2 linked regions of the Arabidopsis thaliana genome follow. The protein of the gene in region 2 interacts with the protein of the main gene of each other region in a pairwise test. Each region holds a gene or a part of one and is shown on either strand. Other genes may lie near its edges.

Region 1 (7,531 bases), on a different chromosome or scaffold from region 2:
TCCTTTTTTTCCATTTCTTTCTTGATTGTTTTGAAGATATTATTGTGGTTTGAGACTGGTGTGCAAGACATGGCTCATATAGTAAACGGGTTTGCTTTTTTTTTTTTTTAAGGTCTATCAGAGACTTTCATAGCAATATTTTCACTATATGAAGCCAGATTTGCTCCTTTTTTCGATGATTTTCAATACTTATGCTTAATTTTAAGATACGCTATATATTTTCTTCACTCGTTACATCATTATTCAGACCAAGTAATAAAAATTGCCAGGAAATTATTCCTTGTTAAATACATCAAACGTATCATATGATCCATATGAAATTGATCCAAACCTATCCATATGAAATTGAAGTTGGCGCAGTTGGTCCGACGGCCCAATAACGTGGCACTAAACCCAAACATCACAGAGGTTCTCGCGTTGACTACTCTGTCAACAAAACCGAAACAGATGACGTCATCATTGACACTCAGCATCGAAGTTAGCTCCAAAGATCATTTGATACATAAATTTCATGGAACATAGGAGGACACACAGTCTTCATGGATCATTTTTGTTTTTACTTTTGAACAAAACCCAACAAGACATTGTTCCATGATACATAAGGTGGATTATATGCAAGGAAAGAAAAAGACTTAGATGATCTAATAAATATACATTGGAAATTTTCAAAATTCAATTGATACATATCATATATACAAGAGAAAAAGACATAAATATTCATTTTCAAATGAATAAGAATAACAAAAAAAAAAAAAAACATTATATATTATCAATTTCAAGATCGTGTTAGATGATGGTATGTTGTGGTCATGGTGAAAAGAGTTAATAAAGTATTGGATTTTGTAATGTCTCTACGTCCTCTGATTGCATCGCACTTAGCTTCTTCTTCGCATAGATTGTGCAGACTATAGTCGCGCTCGCAGTTACACAGAAGCCAAGAACATTCACGACTATCTCCACAACCGAAAGTGTGTGTCTCGTGTCTGATGCAACTGCTAGTGTCCTTAGCATTATACCCCTGCAAATATCCCAAAACAGAAAACCACCAGTCTTAAGATTCTGCAGAACATGCCTTAAACATTGAGACAAGAGACATAGAGAAAGAGAGAGAGGCATGTACGTGTAAATTGAGACAAAGATCTCAGGAACCATTCCAACAAGAGAGCCTAAGATATAAGGACCATAATGAACTCCAGTCGCTAAAGCGCAGTAGTTGTAAATGATGTAAGGAAATGGAGAGACACGGATTAGTGTGACTGCTTGAAACTGATGAAACCAGGTTCCTTCACCAGCAGCTCTAAGTATGGCTGCTTTTTTAGGGTATTTCTTCAACCATTCCTGCACAAATGACAAGAAAGAAAAAAAGTCCAAATTGATCATCTCATGGTACAAGCTTAATAATAAGTATCCGAACAAAGAGTATGGGATGATGATGCTTACTTGCATCTTGTGGAGGAAGAGATGTCCAATTAAGAAAGGAAGAGTAACACCGATGGAAGCAGCTGATAAAATCAGAAGAAACCCTTTTCCATAACCAAATGTAAGACCAGCCATCCACATGGAAGGGGAAGAAGGAAGAAGAATGCTTGGAAACAATGCCACTGAGGCAAATAGTAGAAGACCGAGAACCGGTATGCTGAATGTGTTTCTCACCCAATTTATAAATGGAATCAGCTCCTGAAACAAATCACACCAACATTAATGATGATAAATGAATAACCTTCCTTATAAACACATACTCATACATGTAATTCAAGAACCCTAATTTTCAACAATTAAAAACCCAGCAGAAACCAGAATCATTATGCATACCCTAATCCAATCAAATGTAACCAATAAGCATCAGATCTTCGAGAGACAAAAAAAAAACGAACCTTTTCAATCAAAAAGGGACCAACCCATTTGATGATAACAAAGGCCAATGAACCCAAACAAACGACCAAGGAGATCAATTTCACCCAGAACCAGACAGAAGTAACCGATCCTATCGGACATCTCGATGATTCCGCCGATGATCCTTCATCTTCTTCATTTGATCCTCCTCTCAATTTCAGATAATCACCATTATCGGAATCTTCTTCGACTCTCAATTTCAGCTCAGGCACCGTCCCATCGACGCCATTGCTGTACGTCATAGATCGATGCGAAGATAAAACCAAAAAAAGTGAATCCTTTTGGCTCTAAAAAAAATATCTCAAAAGTTTCCGTCAGAATCGTTATGCACCTCTGTTTGTTTTCCTTCGGTTTCTCGAGAAAATTAAACCGTTAGATCAAATGTTGTGTTGATCGGAGAGAGCGAATGGGGTTAGAAGAAAGAATCTTTATTATTCGTTTCCGTTCTTAGCTTTAAAAACTTTTAAAAAATGATATCCTTATAATTAGGTGGTTTAGTTTCAACTTATTAAACCGGTGTCGTAGTCAAACATGTGGAGACATATGAGTGGCTAATAGCTGTTGCTCCGTCACGAACCACCGATAAATGTGTAAGCAGAGTTGCTTTAGACCGGCGCTTTATTTTCGCTTTGCCGTTACGGTGCGTACATACATCGTACTGACAGAAGAAATACGTAACATATTTAATTATTGAAATTTAGTTGCTTGAAGGCAATTTATATATATTACGGAGCATAACATAAAAGAAAACGAGAGGATCGAACAAGAGAATGAAACGCAACCAAAGTTGATACTTGTAAGCAAAATATAAGAACAAGACTCCCTGTAAAAATGAACATATCGATAGATGATATATAGATTAGATAGCTACGTTTTGAAGTATTAATACCATACCAAAGAGGAGCATAAGAACTAAGAAGCTTATGGACCCTATAAACAATTCACAAACTATATCAAATTTAATTTGGTTGTGGACCTTATGGTCAGTATTGGATCCAAAAAAAAGGATGCAGTCGCGAGTGAGAGTCGCTTGCTAATATAACGTCTTGAATGATAGCGTTCGATGATTTTGGATTTCGATTAGTCGTTTCCAAACCAGATAAATGGAAATTGAATTAGTCTCGATTTTAAGGACAAGCATAAACAAATTATAGCTCAAGATTAGATATAGTGGTGTCCAAAACACTTTACGTAAATTAAAACGATTTAGTCATGTTGATATTTGCAAGTAAACTCAGTGAGAAAAGACCTGACCACTTTTAAAATCCGGTCGTTTTAGCGAAGAAAAGAAAGAGATAATTGAAAAGGCCCAAGGAAGAAAGAGTACATTTGGAACAACATATCATCACATTCCGATCAAATCAAAAGAGCGATGGACTAATCGCGTCGGGACAAACGCGCCACCTTTTTTCTTTATCCTACTGTTACGTCACCGTCCAACCAGCTAAGCATGTCCCCACAAACCAAACCCGGTTCATATAAAACCGATTATCTTCACGAACTCGAACCAACTTTATCGTAATCCACAAACACCATAAAAAGTTGATAACCCCACCCATTTTATATCCACTTTATCTCATCAAAAAACTTCCAATCACCACCGTTGGATTAGTAAACAATGGCGTCATCACTCTCCGATTGTTTCATCGAACGAATATTATCAGGGATGTATTAAATCTTCCGTGCGCCTTACCGCATATGAATAAACCATTTGACCACAAAGACAAATGCAAAAGAACTAAAAGAGTCTGGTTTCTGTTCTGTCCTAATTTCTCTCTGGCGAAAGCTAAGAGGTTTCGGTTACGGTCTCCATCTCCGATCAAATCACGAAGTTTCTATCGGAAATTTTCAGTGATACATACCGTCAGAGATTTTCTTTACGAGAGAATTGTCGCCGACATACTAAAGCAGAGTTTTGGGTGGGAATTAGGTAAATATCTTATTGGTTTTGTTCTGTGCCGATATGCAGATTTGTGTTCTTCGTTTGAATCCTTCATCTATTCTTGAACCATTCGATTTAAGTTTTTGACGGCGAAGATTAAACAACTCTTATCTATCTCTTTTTTGTCCTTTTTTGCGCCGGAAGGGTAAAGTGGTCTTTGTGAGATAGACGCTGACCTGGTCTTAAGTGTTGACAAATGACGCATTTACTCTTCGACTTTATAAAGAGTTCCAAGGGTATTTTAGTCATAAATGAGAAATAATTTTAGTCTTTCTCGCTTGAGAAACAAGCCAAGAATCTCCGTTTTCTAAATCTTTCGATATTGTCAATTTCCCTTTATTTTCTCGACGGAATCATAAATAAAAACCCTAAACCTAAAGTCACAAATTCATTCTTCATCTGTTATTCACGATTTGTGTTGTCTTTTCTTTTGCAGTAAGATTTCGACTTTGGAATTGGGAGATCTTTCCATTATGGGTTCTGAGCAAAACGACAGCACAAGCTTCTCTCCTTCAGAGCCAAAGCTCTGCGTCAAAGGATGTGGCTTCTTCGGATCTCCATCGAACATGAACCTCTGCTCTAAATGCTACAGAGACATCCGAGCCACGGAGGAACAAACCGCTTCCGCTAAAGCCGCCGTCGAGAAATCTCTAAACCCTAATAAACCCAAAACTCAACCACAACAGAGCCAAGAAATCACTCAAGGCGTCCTCGGATCTGGATCGTCTTCCTCATCAACGAGAGGGGGTGATTCGGCTGCTGCTCCGTTGGATCCACCGAAATCGACGGCTACGAGATGCTTGAGCTGTAACAAGAAAGTTGGCGTGACGGGTTTCAAGTGTAGGTGTGGAAGCACTTTCTGTGGAACTCATAGATATCCAGAGAGTCACGAGTGCCAATTCGATTTCAAAGGAGTTGCGAGAGAAGCTATTGCTAAAGCTAATCCTGTGGTGAAGGCTGATAAGGTTGATAGGATATGAATTGGTGAAGAAACTGTTGTGTTCTCTTTTGTTTTTTTATTTTCAAGTCTCGTGATGTTGGTGGTTTGGCTCTCTGTTTTCTGCTCTTATTATGGTTTTATTTGCTTTTAGGGTTTCTTAGGAAAGGCCTTAGATTCTGCTATTATGTGGTTTCATGTTTTGCAACATTGGATTTGTTGTTCTGTAATAAAGTGTTGGTTATATTATGAAATTGTGTTCTTATTGGTACCAGCTTACTTCTTCTTACTTGGAGAAGTTGAATTGTTTGCAGATATAGGATTCTCTTGGTTATGAGGCTTATGAACTAGTTGGGGGTCGTAAATAGCTTATGGTGGATAAAAGTGTGTAGCTTGATAGTTCTGAAACTAAAGATGTCGTATAGAGCTTATGGTGGATTCCCCTGGTTTGTTTATAGTGGACGAACAAGTTGGGGTTTGTATATAGCATTATAGCTTATGGTGGATAAAGTATGTAGCTTGAAATTTCTGAAGCTGAAGATGTTGTTCAGGGTATCTTTATCGAGTCATGGAAGATTTAGATGTGTCTTTAGTTTAGGTGTTAAGTGTCCTTGATTGAATGAGTCATTGATTTTGCTTTCTCTGTCTTAGCTGGAGAAAGTAGTGTTCTTCTTACCTGGACAAAGTTTGATTCACTTAAGAGTTGTGGGACTTAGAGTAAGTGGAGTTTTTATATAGCTTATGGTGGATCCAATGAAGTAGTCAAAGTAGTTTACCTATATCGAACCATGGCAGATTAAGAGATGTTTAGGTGATAGTGCCCAGTGATTGAACGAAATCAGTGATTTTTGCCTGGTAGTGGCAGTATGCTTTGATAGCTTAAGAAACTTTAAAGACTTGAGGCTCGGTTTTGGCCATGATCGATTTGTTTGAACTAGTTGGGATATTCGGTGTTGTAGTCGATGACTGTAGATTGAATACATTCTGTCGTTTGTGTATACATATTCCCTAGCAATGATGCTCATAAGATTATTTCCCTGTGCTTGTATGATCTTCATCTCGTTGGGGTTATGTTTAAAGTGTAACCCATCAAAAGTTTTTAGCAAAAAGATGGAATAGTCAATGCCAATGCAGATCTTTGAATGGTGTGTATTGAACAATGTCAATATCCACAATCAAGTGCACTAGTTGCATCTGATCTATTTTTATAAAAGAAGTATCCATCCAAATTTTTTATATACTGTCTTCGCATACAACTGATTTTGATCTGAAATTTCACTAGATGAAACTGGATTTGATTTTCAATACGGTTTCTAAATTGTCTAAACTATGAAAAACTGTAACAAACAAAAATTGATATCAAAACTTAAGACTGCAACCGACGAGTTGAGGTAGACTATGAAATGATAGAACATATGTCCTTGGTGTGGGTAAACTGTTGCTTTCACTTTCACTTTCACTTCTTGATGGTTACATTACAATATTGGGTCCATTTTTCGGATCTTATCAACCAATTTACAAAAAGCAAAGAGAGAAAAGCAGTGCACTACAGTTTTCTTTATAAAACTTAACAAATGAACATGTAGACTTTTAGTTTTCAACTGTGAAACATGTTTTGTACTTCTTTGCTTTAGGCTTTATTATTTTTCTTTCTTATACATGAAAAAATAGTGGAACAATGAAGTACTTACTGCGACATTGCAACCTTTGGAAAAAACCACTTTCAGGCCATGATGCAATATCGAATGATCTGACGTTGCATCAGTCGTATAACCTTTTGTAATTCATAGTTTTACCCCTAAAAAAAAACAATTTTATATGAATTCAATTTTCGATTTTAAACATAAATTTTCGATTTTGGACATTTTACATGTCTAGAATATCTCCCCAAATCCTATGATCAATATAATAAACAAATAATGCTGAAATTAGAAAGAGAAATAACAAAGTGCCCTTTTATATTTTATAGAAAATAACTCTTTGTTCCTTGAATATAACTCACTTTAGTAAAGTCTCTCATTGAAGAAGGCCCCTACATGAATACTGAATAGTCTGAGTGCTTTGAATAAGTTTCCCTCTTTATACATCAATGCTGCAGTATATACACACTATAAAGCACCAGAATGGCAAAAAAAAAGGTTTCGTTTTACATTTGATTATGAAATATCAGAGATGTGTCAATTGGGTTAAGAATTCACTATTTGAATATGTTCAAATTTTGTTATTCATTCTTTTCTTATTATGATGGTGTTTTTTGGTTTGGAAGGATCATGATGTTTGAACCAGGTGTAAGCGAACTACAAATTTTATGAAAAAAATCGAATCATAATTTTGATCGAACAATTATTTTAATGTCGATCCAGAAATTTCCATTTTAAAACTAAACTATATTGAGTTAAAATTTTCATATACTAGATTCAATTCATCTCAAAGCACCTTTTTGTACATATTGTTGTTAATGAATTGATTTCCTATTTTCTCCTATTATATTTTAATTTATATTCTATCACCTTTTTTTTTGGTTCGGCCAAAATATTTGAAAGGAAAACTCTTTTCATTGGGACGATTTGACAAATATACTTTTTCTATGGGCCCTTGAATCCCTTTATTGTTGTTATTGCCTTTTCTCAGTCCAAAACCTTTTGTTCTTTTAATTGATCTTCCTATAATTATGCTTTAAAGAAACGAATTCAAATTTAATATATAAAAACTCATTCAAAGTTCAAACCAGTCCATCTCGACAAAATGTGTTTTACAGT
Region 2 (7,504 bases):
TGGATAGATTAGAGAAATAGAAAAATCAAAAGAAGCTTTGGCAAAGAGCTAAAGATCAAAGCTTTTCTTTGAGGTAATTCGTTTGACTCTTTTTTTTTTTTTTTTTTTGCTTGAATCGTGTTGTTCTCTTTGTTCTGCTAGAGATTTGATCTGTAAATTATGTGATTTATTAAGAAATTGAAAGCTCTGTGTTTCAGAATGAGATTGTGGATTGTGAGTGTACTCGTGCTTACACACCTTGTCCATGGAGCTCTCTGTTGGGGGAAGGATGGTCACTACACTGTTTGCAAATTAGCTGAGGTGACTTTTCTTGATTAGTTTCTGAGATGTTACACTCTAAGATGAACTCTGTGAAAGTGTTGTAAGATACTTGAAGATTGATTTAGCTTTAGAGAACTGTGAAAACAAAAATGCATCTAGGAGCTTTCTTTATTAGTTAGGATGGAGATAAATGTGGTTTAATCGGCGTTTCATCGAATTTCTTTGAGATTGGATCATGCTTTAGACTGAAAAGGTATTAGCTTTGTTGATAAGATGATTTCAATTTCCAAATCCTCAGGGATTCTTTGAGGATGATACTATTGCTGCAGTGAAGAAACTTCTGCCTGAATCAGTTGATGGTGGTGGACTAGCAGATTTTTGCTCATGGCCTGATGAAATTAAAAAACTCTCGCAATGGCAATGGACTAGCACTTTGCACTATGTTAACACACCTGAATACAGGTGCAACTACGAGTATTGCCGTGGGTTATCTTTTCCTCCAGCTTCATACATGTTTCTGTTCTGTTTCTGCTTCCATTGGCTATGTATTTTCTAAGTTCAACTCTATGTCCTTTTGTGTTTTGTGAAGGGGACTGCCATGACACTCATAAGCATAAGGACTGGTGTGTGACAGGAGCGATCTTCAATTACACAAACCAGTTAATGTCTGCTTCTGAAAACTCACAGAATATAGTCCACTGTGAGTTAGATTTTAAGTGAATCTGATACTTCTTTTAATGTTTCAGTTTACTGATTTCTGTGTGAGTACATCGATCATAATAGTGTGACTTAGAAGTCTTTTTCTTTCTGTTCTTGGCAGACAACTTGACAGAGGCTCTCTTGTTCTTGTCACATTATATGGGAGATGTTCATCAGGTTAGTCCTTTTTGCAAATTCAGTCGAATCATAATATTACAAACAAATGCTGTCAGAGTTATATGCATTTGAGGCTACTACTCTATCTACTCTGGACTCTGGAGGTTTGATTAGTGTATAGTAGCAACACAAGAGTATGGCTAATCTTTATGTGGATTATGATTTTCGCAGCCCTTGCATACTGGTTTTCTTGGAGATCTAGGTGGTAACACAATAATAGTCAACTGGTACCATAACAAATCAAATTTGCACCATGTAAGTGCTTTGTTTTTTAGTCATATTGATGCTAAAAAGTATCTTTCCTGACACGGAAGTGGAACGATCTTAACTTGAAGGTCTGGGACAACATGATAATTGACTCTGCTCTAGAAACATACTACAATTCAAGCCTTCCACACATGATTCAAGCTCTTCAAGCCAAACTCAAGGTACAATCTTGCCTTCTCTAATCAGCTTCAGCAAGTTATAGCCGTATCCAAGATAAACACAACTTACATTGAGTGTTTGTTGTTACGTCTGTCTTAATATAGAACGGCTGGTCGAATGATGTTCCGTCGTGGAAGTCATGTCACTTTCACCAAAAGGCCTGTCCAAATCTGTAAGCAAGCATCTATATATCTGTTAAGTTGCTTAATAGCAGAGAAAACTTAGTTTTCGTTACCATATCATTGTTGATTCTCTTTGTTCTTTGATGTGTTAAAGGTATGCTTCTGAAAGCATTGATCTCGCCTGCAAGTATGCTTACAGGAACGCTACTCCGGGGACTACTTTAGGAGGTATACTTACTCTATGAAACCAGATCGTGGCTTTTTGTTTTCTTTAATCATGGACATGACTTGATCTTCTGCTTTCTCTGCAGATGAGTATTTCCTTTCTCGGTTACCCGTTGTAGAGAAGAGACTTGCACAAGGTGGGATTCGCTTGGCAGCTACTCTTAATCGTATCTTTTCTGCAAAACCGAAGCTCGCAGGATTATGAATCTAAGAAAAAGATCCTTGAGAACCCACGTAACAACTCCTTTTAAGTGTTTTTTATAACACTGTGAATGGTTGAGTCATGACTAATGAGTGAACCTCCAAAATCTTCATGCAAAAATTTGTTATTTTGGGACATGGTTCAAACTTCCAATAACAAACCACACTAACGGATAACACTTTGCATTTTTTTTGTTTGTTTTCAGTTTTGTTAATTAGTATCCTTCTTCTTATCTTATGAAAAAGGTAAGTTAACATAAAGGAGTAAAATAGAAAAAGAAGTTAGATTTCCTCATTAGATTAGGAATGATAATTCGCTATATAAAGATTTCAAGTGAGACATAAAAAGCCTAAGCGCAAAACACACAAAAAAGAGTTTCTTACGTGAAAAGCTACTTAAACCCTAAAAGAGAGAGAGAAAAAAAAAGCAAAGCCGACACAGCTAGCGCTCTCGGGTGCACTTCCACAGCAATGAACGGAGAAGAGCCACCTTTTAAAAGAAGACGGATGAATTTTCTTATGCTTCCTGATGATTTGGTTTTAAACTGTTTAATTTGGCCCGCATCTCAAGATAGTACTATCCAACTCTCTCTTTAGTATCCAAGAGATTCCGCTCTATCCTTACTTCAACGGAGCTTTACCAGACCCAAACTCTCTTAGGCCGCACCGAGAGTTGTTTGTACGTGTGCTTAACGCAGATTACATATGACGCTTCTAACCCACAATTAATTTGGTTCACTCTTTGCCGCAAACCAAATAGCTCAAAAAAGATTTTAATCCCAATTTCATATCCTAAATCTGCATCATGGTCGGATAGTGTAGTGGCTGTTGGTCCTAATATCTACGCTATTGGGGGATTCAGTAATAATAGAACTAAACCTTCGTCTAGCGTCATGGTCATGGATTGTCGTACTCACACATGGTGTGAGGCCCCTAGCATGCAGGTTTCCCGTGTGTTCCAATCTACTTGCGTCCTTGATGGGAAAATATATGTAACAGGAGGCCGCGGAACTCTCGATTCAACGAAATGGATGGAGGTTTTTGATACGAAAACCCAAACTTGGGAGTTTTTGCAATTCCCGAGTGAGGAGAAGATATGCACAGGCTATAAGTGTGAGAGCATAGTGTATGAAGGAACTGTCTATGTAAGGTCGTATTTTCATAATGTGACTTACAAGCTGCATAAAGGTAGATGGATAGCGGCAGACTTAGCGATGAATAATGGATGGCGTTGCTCATCATTTTTTTGTGTGATAAAGAACGTGTTCTACTGTTGCAATAGAAGTGGTAACGGTATGATCGATTGGTATGACTCGGAAAAAGGATCATGGACAACTATGAAGGGGTTGGAAAGATTGCCTAAAGTTTATGGTAATGTTAAATTGGCATATTATGGTGGAAAAATGGTGGTGGTGTACGTGGAGTGCTAAGGAGTGGGGTAACGTGAGAAAAATTTGGTGTGCGGAAATTACGATTGAAAAACGCAAGGATGGAGAGATTTGGGGGATACTAGAATGGTTTGACGATGTATATAAAGCCAAGGATGAGCTAGAATATTTAGCTGTAGTGCATGCTGTTGTTACTACCATCTGATTGATAAGAGAGTCATGTGAACATTGTTCATTGATTCACCGATGCAATAACGAATTTATCTACTATCATTTGTTTTGATTTTCTTTCTAAATCTTTTTTGTTTGTTCTTGTATTGAATTTTACCTTACATTTATTAAGAAAGTCAACTATTTGTCAACGTTACTGGAAAGTTAAAAAGGTAAAAGTAATAATAATCTGAGAGTTAACTTTGGACATCTTCGCCGGAGCCGAGACGGAAGGCGTGATGGAAGAGATACAACAACAAACGCAGAAGGAAGAACAAAAGCACCGTGAAGAAGAAGAGGAGGAAGAGGAAGGTCCGCCTCCGGGATGGGAATCTGCAGTTCTTCCTCCTCCAATCGTCACCATCACCGCCGCCGTAAACCCCAATCCCACCACCGTAGAAATTCCCGGTATTCTTGTAGTCTTGTCTATTTTAGGGTTTATCGATTTGCTTCCATTTCTTGCTACAGTCTGATCAAATTAGAGATTTTTAGTGGAGTTTGTAGACTTTTAGAGATAACCCATTTTCGATTCCGAGAATTGATTAGTGTTTTTTTTCTGCAAATCTTCTTTGTTTTTGGGGTTGTTGCAGAAAAGGCCCAAATGGTATGTGGATCTTGCAGGCGTTTGCTTTCTTATCTAAGAGGATCCAAACATGTTAAGTGCTCCTCTTGTCAGACTGTTAATCTCGTTCTTGAAGGTTCGTTCTTCCATGGCTTTTTTATCTCTTATTCATTACTTGAAAAGCTTTTGTTGATAATCTCAGTCACTTGAAACTCTTAATGGAACAATCTTGGAATGCTCTCTCAGTCTAGTTTTACTTAGCATGTGTGAATGATATATCTATGTTCTTTTGAGAATCTCAAAATGTAAGCTTCCTGAGACCAAATGAGTTTAGTTCTTAACTGACACAAGAATGATCTTTGGTTAGGATTCTTCTCTTAAGCTTTTGTGAGCCTTTTGGTCTCTACTCCATCATAATGTCTCCTTTGTAGACCATTTATGTGGTCTTTATCCTTTACTCTTACTACTCTTGGGGAAATTGTGTGATCTTAAGACCAAGATTGTTCTTCTTAGCTTGTGAATCACTTGGCCTCATTATTGATGAAATAGCCTTCTTCTCTTATCGGTTCTGGACTTGTCGTTCTTTGTTTGCAGCTAACCAGGTTGGTCAGGTGAATTGCAACAATTGCAAACTGCTACTGATGTATCCTTATGGAGCTCCAGCTGTTAGATGTTCCTCCTGCAATTCTGTCACAGATATCAGTGTATGTATTCACAGATGGTTTTGTGCTCCATGTCCAAATCATACTTGGAAGAGTTGATACATTTTGAGATCCGAGTAAGTAATCATCTGATGAATCATTTATAATAAACTGTGTTATATTTCAGGAAAACAACAAACGACCTCCATGGTCTGAGCAGCAAGGACCACTCAAAAGTTTAAGCAGTCTCAGGAGAGCAGAGAATTAAACTTGAACCGATTTTTGTCAATTTTGAACCGGTTTGACGACTAAAAACCTTGTAATAATGTCGAAGGATAGATGAAATAAAATCACCATTAATAATCTCATTGAATTCCCATTCTTTCAGATATTACTTGCTCATCATCCTTTACTGTTTTAAGCTTTAGTGGTTAAAAAGAATGTGTATATATCCATACAAAAGTTGATATATGTACTGGACCAATATAAACAAACACAGCTCACAGTCTCACACAATACATAAAAACAAAATTCATATTTCACAGGTGAGAAAAACTAACTAGTAGTCTACTTGGCCGAATTTGTCAATGAATTTCAATAATTAGGTCGTATAAATAGCAAACAAAACATGGACTCTTACCCAACCAAATATGCATAAATAATTTACATTACAGTTTCATATAAAATACAAACTAATGGTGGGTCCTCGAGAGAGCTAACAAGAGCTGTGTGTGGGTGAAGAACCAACTTGTCAACGAAACCAATTTAATGGAAATCAACCCTAAATTTAATGAAACCTTGGACGAAACTTACATTTTGTTAACCAGTTTATCCTTTTAAATCAAACCTGCATAGATTTTGATTTAAGACTTGAAAGTCTTAAATGATATGGTTGGATTGAAATAATGAGTGGGCCTTATAGAACAGATTAAATTATGAACACCACAAGTTTCTTTTTTTGTGCGAGTAATAAAACAGTTGCTTAGAAATTTGTTGTGTTTATAAATAGACACTATTATTAACACACAAATTTTTGAATTTTTGGCAGATGGTTACAGAGAATACCAATTGTGGATTTCATCCAAACTTTAGGTAATTAATCCTTTATTTTTTTTATCATGAACACATCTGTCAAAAGTCCTCCACTATCAAATCTTAATTTAAACTATCTGTCGCTCTTTGAATAACACATGCTTAAATTAAATGTCGCCAACGCCAAGTGCTGCTAAATAAAAATATTTGAACAGTCTCTCAACTAGTTACGCAAGTAATAGAGACTATAGAGAAAGACACAAGAGTCTTCTTTGCAAAGTAGAGTAGTAGTACGGGCATTAAAGTGATTGTATTACACACTAAAGTCCACGAATCATTGTCTTAACTGTATTTTCATACCTTCCAATTTAATGCTCTTCTCTATCTTTATATATCATCCAGCTTTTTATTTAATCTCCTCAACCAAACCCACTAAATATCTACATTACCAAAAATGTTCACAAAATCTATCCTTTTGGCTTCTCTTCTTATCATCATCCTCGTCTCTGCAACTGAATCAGCTCGTCAAAAGAGCGGGAACGATGGTTTAGGATTCGGTGGTGTACCCGGATCCGGATTTATACCCGGGTTTGGAAACGGGTTTCCGGGGACTGGAGTTGGTGGTGGATACGGTGGAGGGTTTGGTGGTCCTAGCGGAGGGTTTGGGAAAGGAGGTGTGGTGAGACCAACGGTTACTTGCAAAGAGAAAGGACCTTGTAACGGCAAGAAGCTTAGGTGTCCTGCTAAGTGTTTCAAATCTTTTAGCCGCTCCGGGAAAGGATACGGCGGTGGAGGTGGCGGTGGAGGATGTACTATGGATTGTAAGAAGAAGTGTATCGCTTATTGTTAAGATATAATAAAGATCACATCATCTTTATAATATATAGTCATTATGATGGTTATGTATTTTCTATGTTATAGCCTATAGATTATGAGATCATGAGGATCCTTTTGTCTTGATTCGATTTGTAGCAGTTTTATATGCATAATATATGGTTGTGATGAATAAATGAGGGAACTTTACTGTTTTCTCTATTGTATGTTTGTGTAAGAGATTCTAAGTTAATTGTGATTTGATCTGTTTTATGATGATCTTGAATCTTGATTTGACACTTTTAAACTTAGATTTGCAACAAATTACATAATAAGAACCAATACCATGAGCATCATATGGCTCTTTTTATTACATCGAAATCGTTGTCTTAACAGAGACAGGTATTATAACATCATGAACACCATCAGTCCATGTTAAGCTTCCAAAGAAATAGCCACTGTTGACTTTATGACTCGTTTTAGCCTTAACCGAGAAAGTGAGTACTCTCTTTGCTGCAGAGTTAAACACCAGAGTGGTTGGGTTCACGGTGAGAGTTATACCGAGAGGAGACTCGATTACAGCTTTATAAACTGACTTGATGGGTCCAACATTGGTTACAGTTCTTGTAAGTGTGACTTCTTTCTCAAGATTTGGAATTGTGATTGAAGGTAAGTTGATATCAAGAATTGATGGCTTGGGAATTGTGCATTTAGTCTTTTTACCAAGCACACGAGAGATTGAAGAGT

What was found. The genes of interacting proteins can lie anywhere in the genome.
Region 1: the proteins of LOL2 (region 2) and AT1G12440 interact in a two-hybrid assay, tested with the Arabidopsis thaliana proteins (one large-scale study listed by BioGRID).

What each region holds. Positions count from the first base shown.
Region 1 is NC_003070.9:4,239,100-4,246,630, reverse strand, and holds AT1G12440 (A20/AN1-like zinc finger family protein), read left to right. Parts: upstream 1-3,429; 5' UTR 3,430-3,823; exon of another isoform or gene 3,824-4,271; 5' UTR 4,272-4,308; coding exon 4,309-4,815; 3' UTR 4,816-5,210; downstream 5,211-7,531. Other genes in the region: AT1G12450 (SNARE associated Golgi protein family), read right to left, coding at 823-1,018, 1,121-1,338, 1,441-1,677, 1,875-2,135. UniProt on the Arabidopsis thaliana protein: May be involved in environmental stress response.
Region 2 is NC_003075.7:11,485,121-11,492,624, forward strand, and holds LOL2 (lsd one like 2), read left to right. Parts: upstream 1-3,855; 5' UTR 3,856-3,948; coding exon 3,949-4,117; intron 4,118-4,299; coding exon 4,300-4,407; intron 4,408-4,865; coding exon 4,866-4,975; coding exon of another isoform or gene 4,976-5,032; exon of another isoform or gene 5,033-5,099; coding exon 5,100-5,180; 3' UTR 5,181-5,303; downstream 5,304-7,504. Other genes in the region: ENDO5 (endonuclease 5), read left to right, coding at 199-300, 560-743, 851-961, 1,082-1,137, 1,309-1,392, 1,473-1,565, 1,668-1,735, 1,840-1,913 and 1 more; AT4G21620 (glycine-rich protein), read left to right, coding at 6,399-6,794; AT4G21630 (Subtilase family protein), read right to left, coding at 7,128-7,504. UniProt on the Arabidopsis thaliana protein: Putative zinc finger that may be involved in programmed cell death and defense response.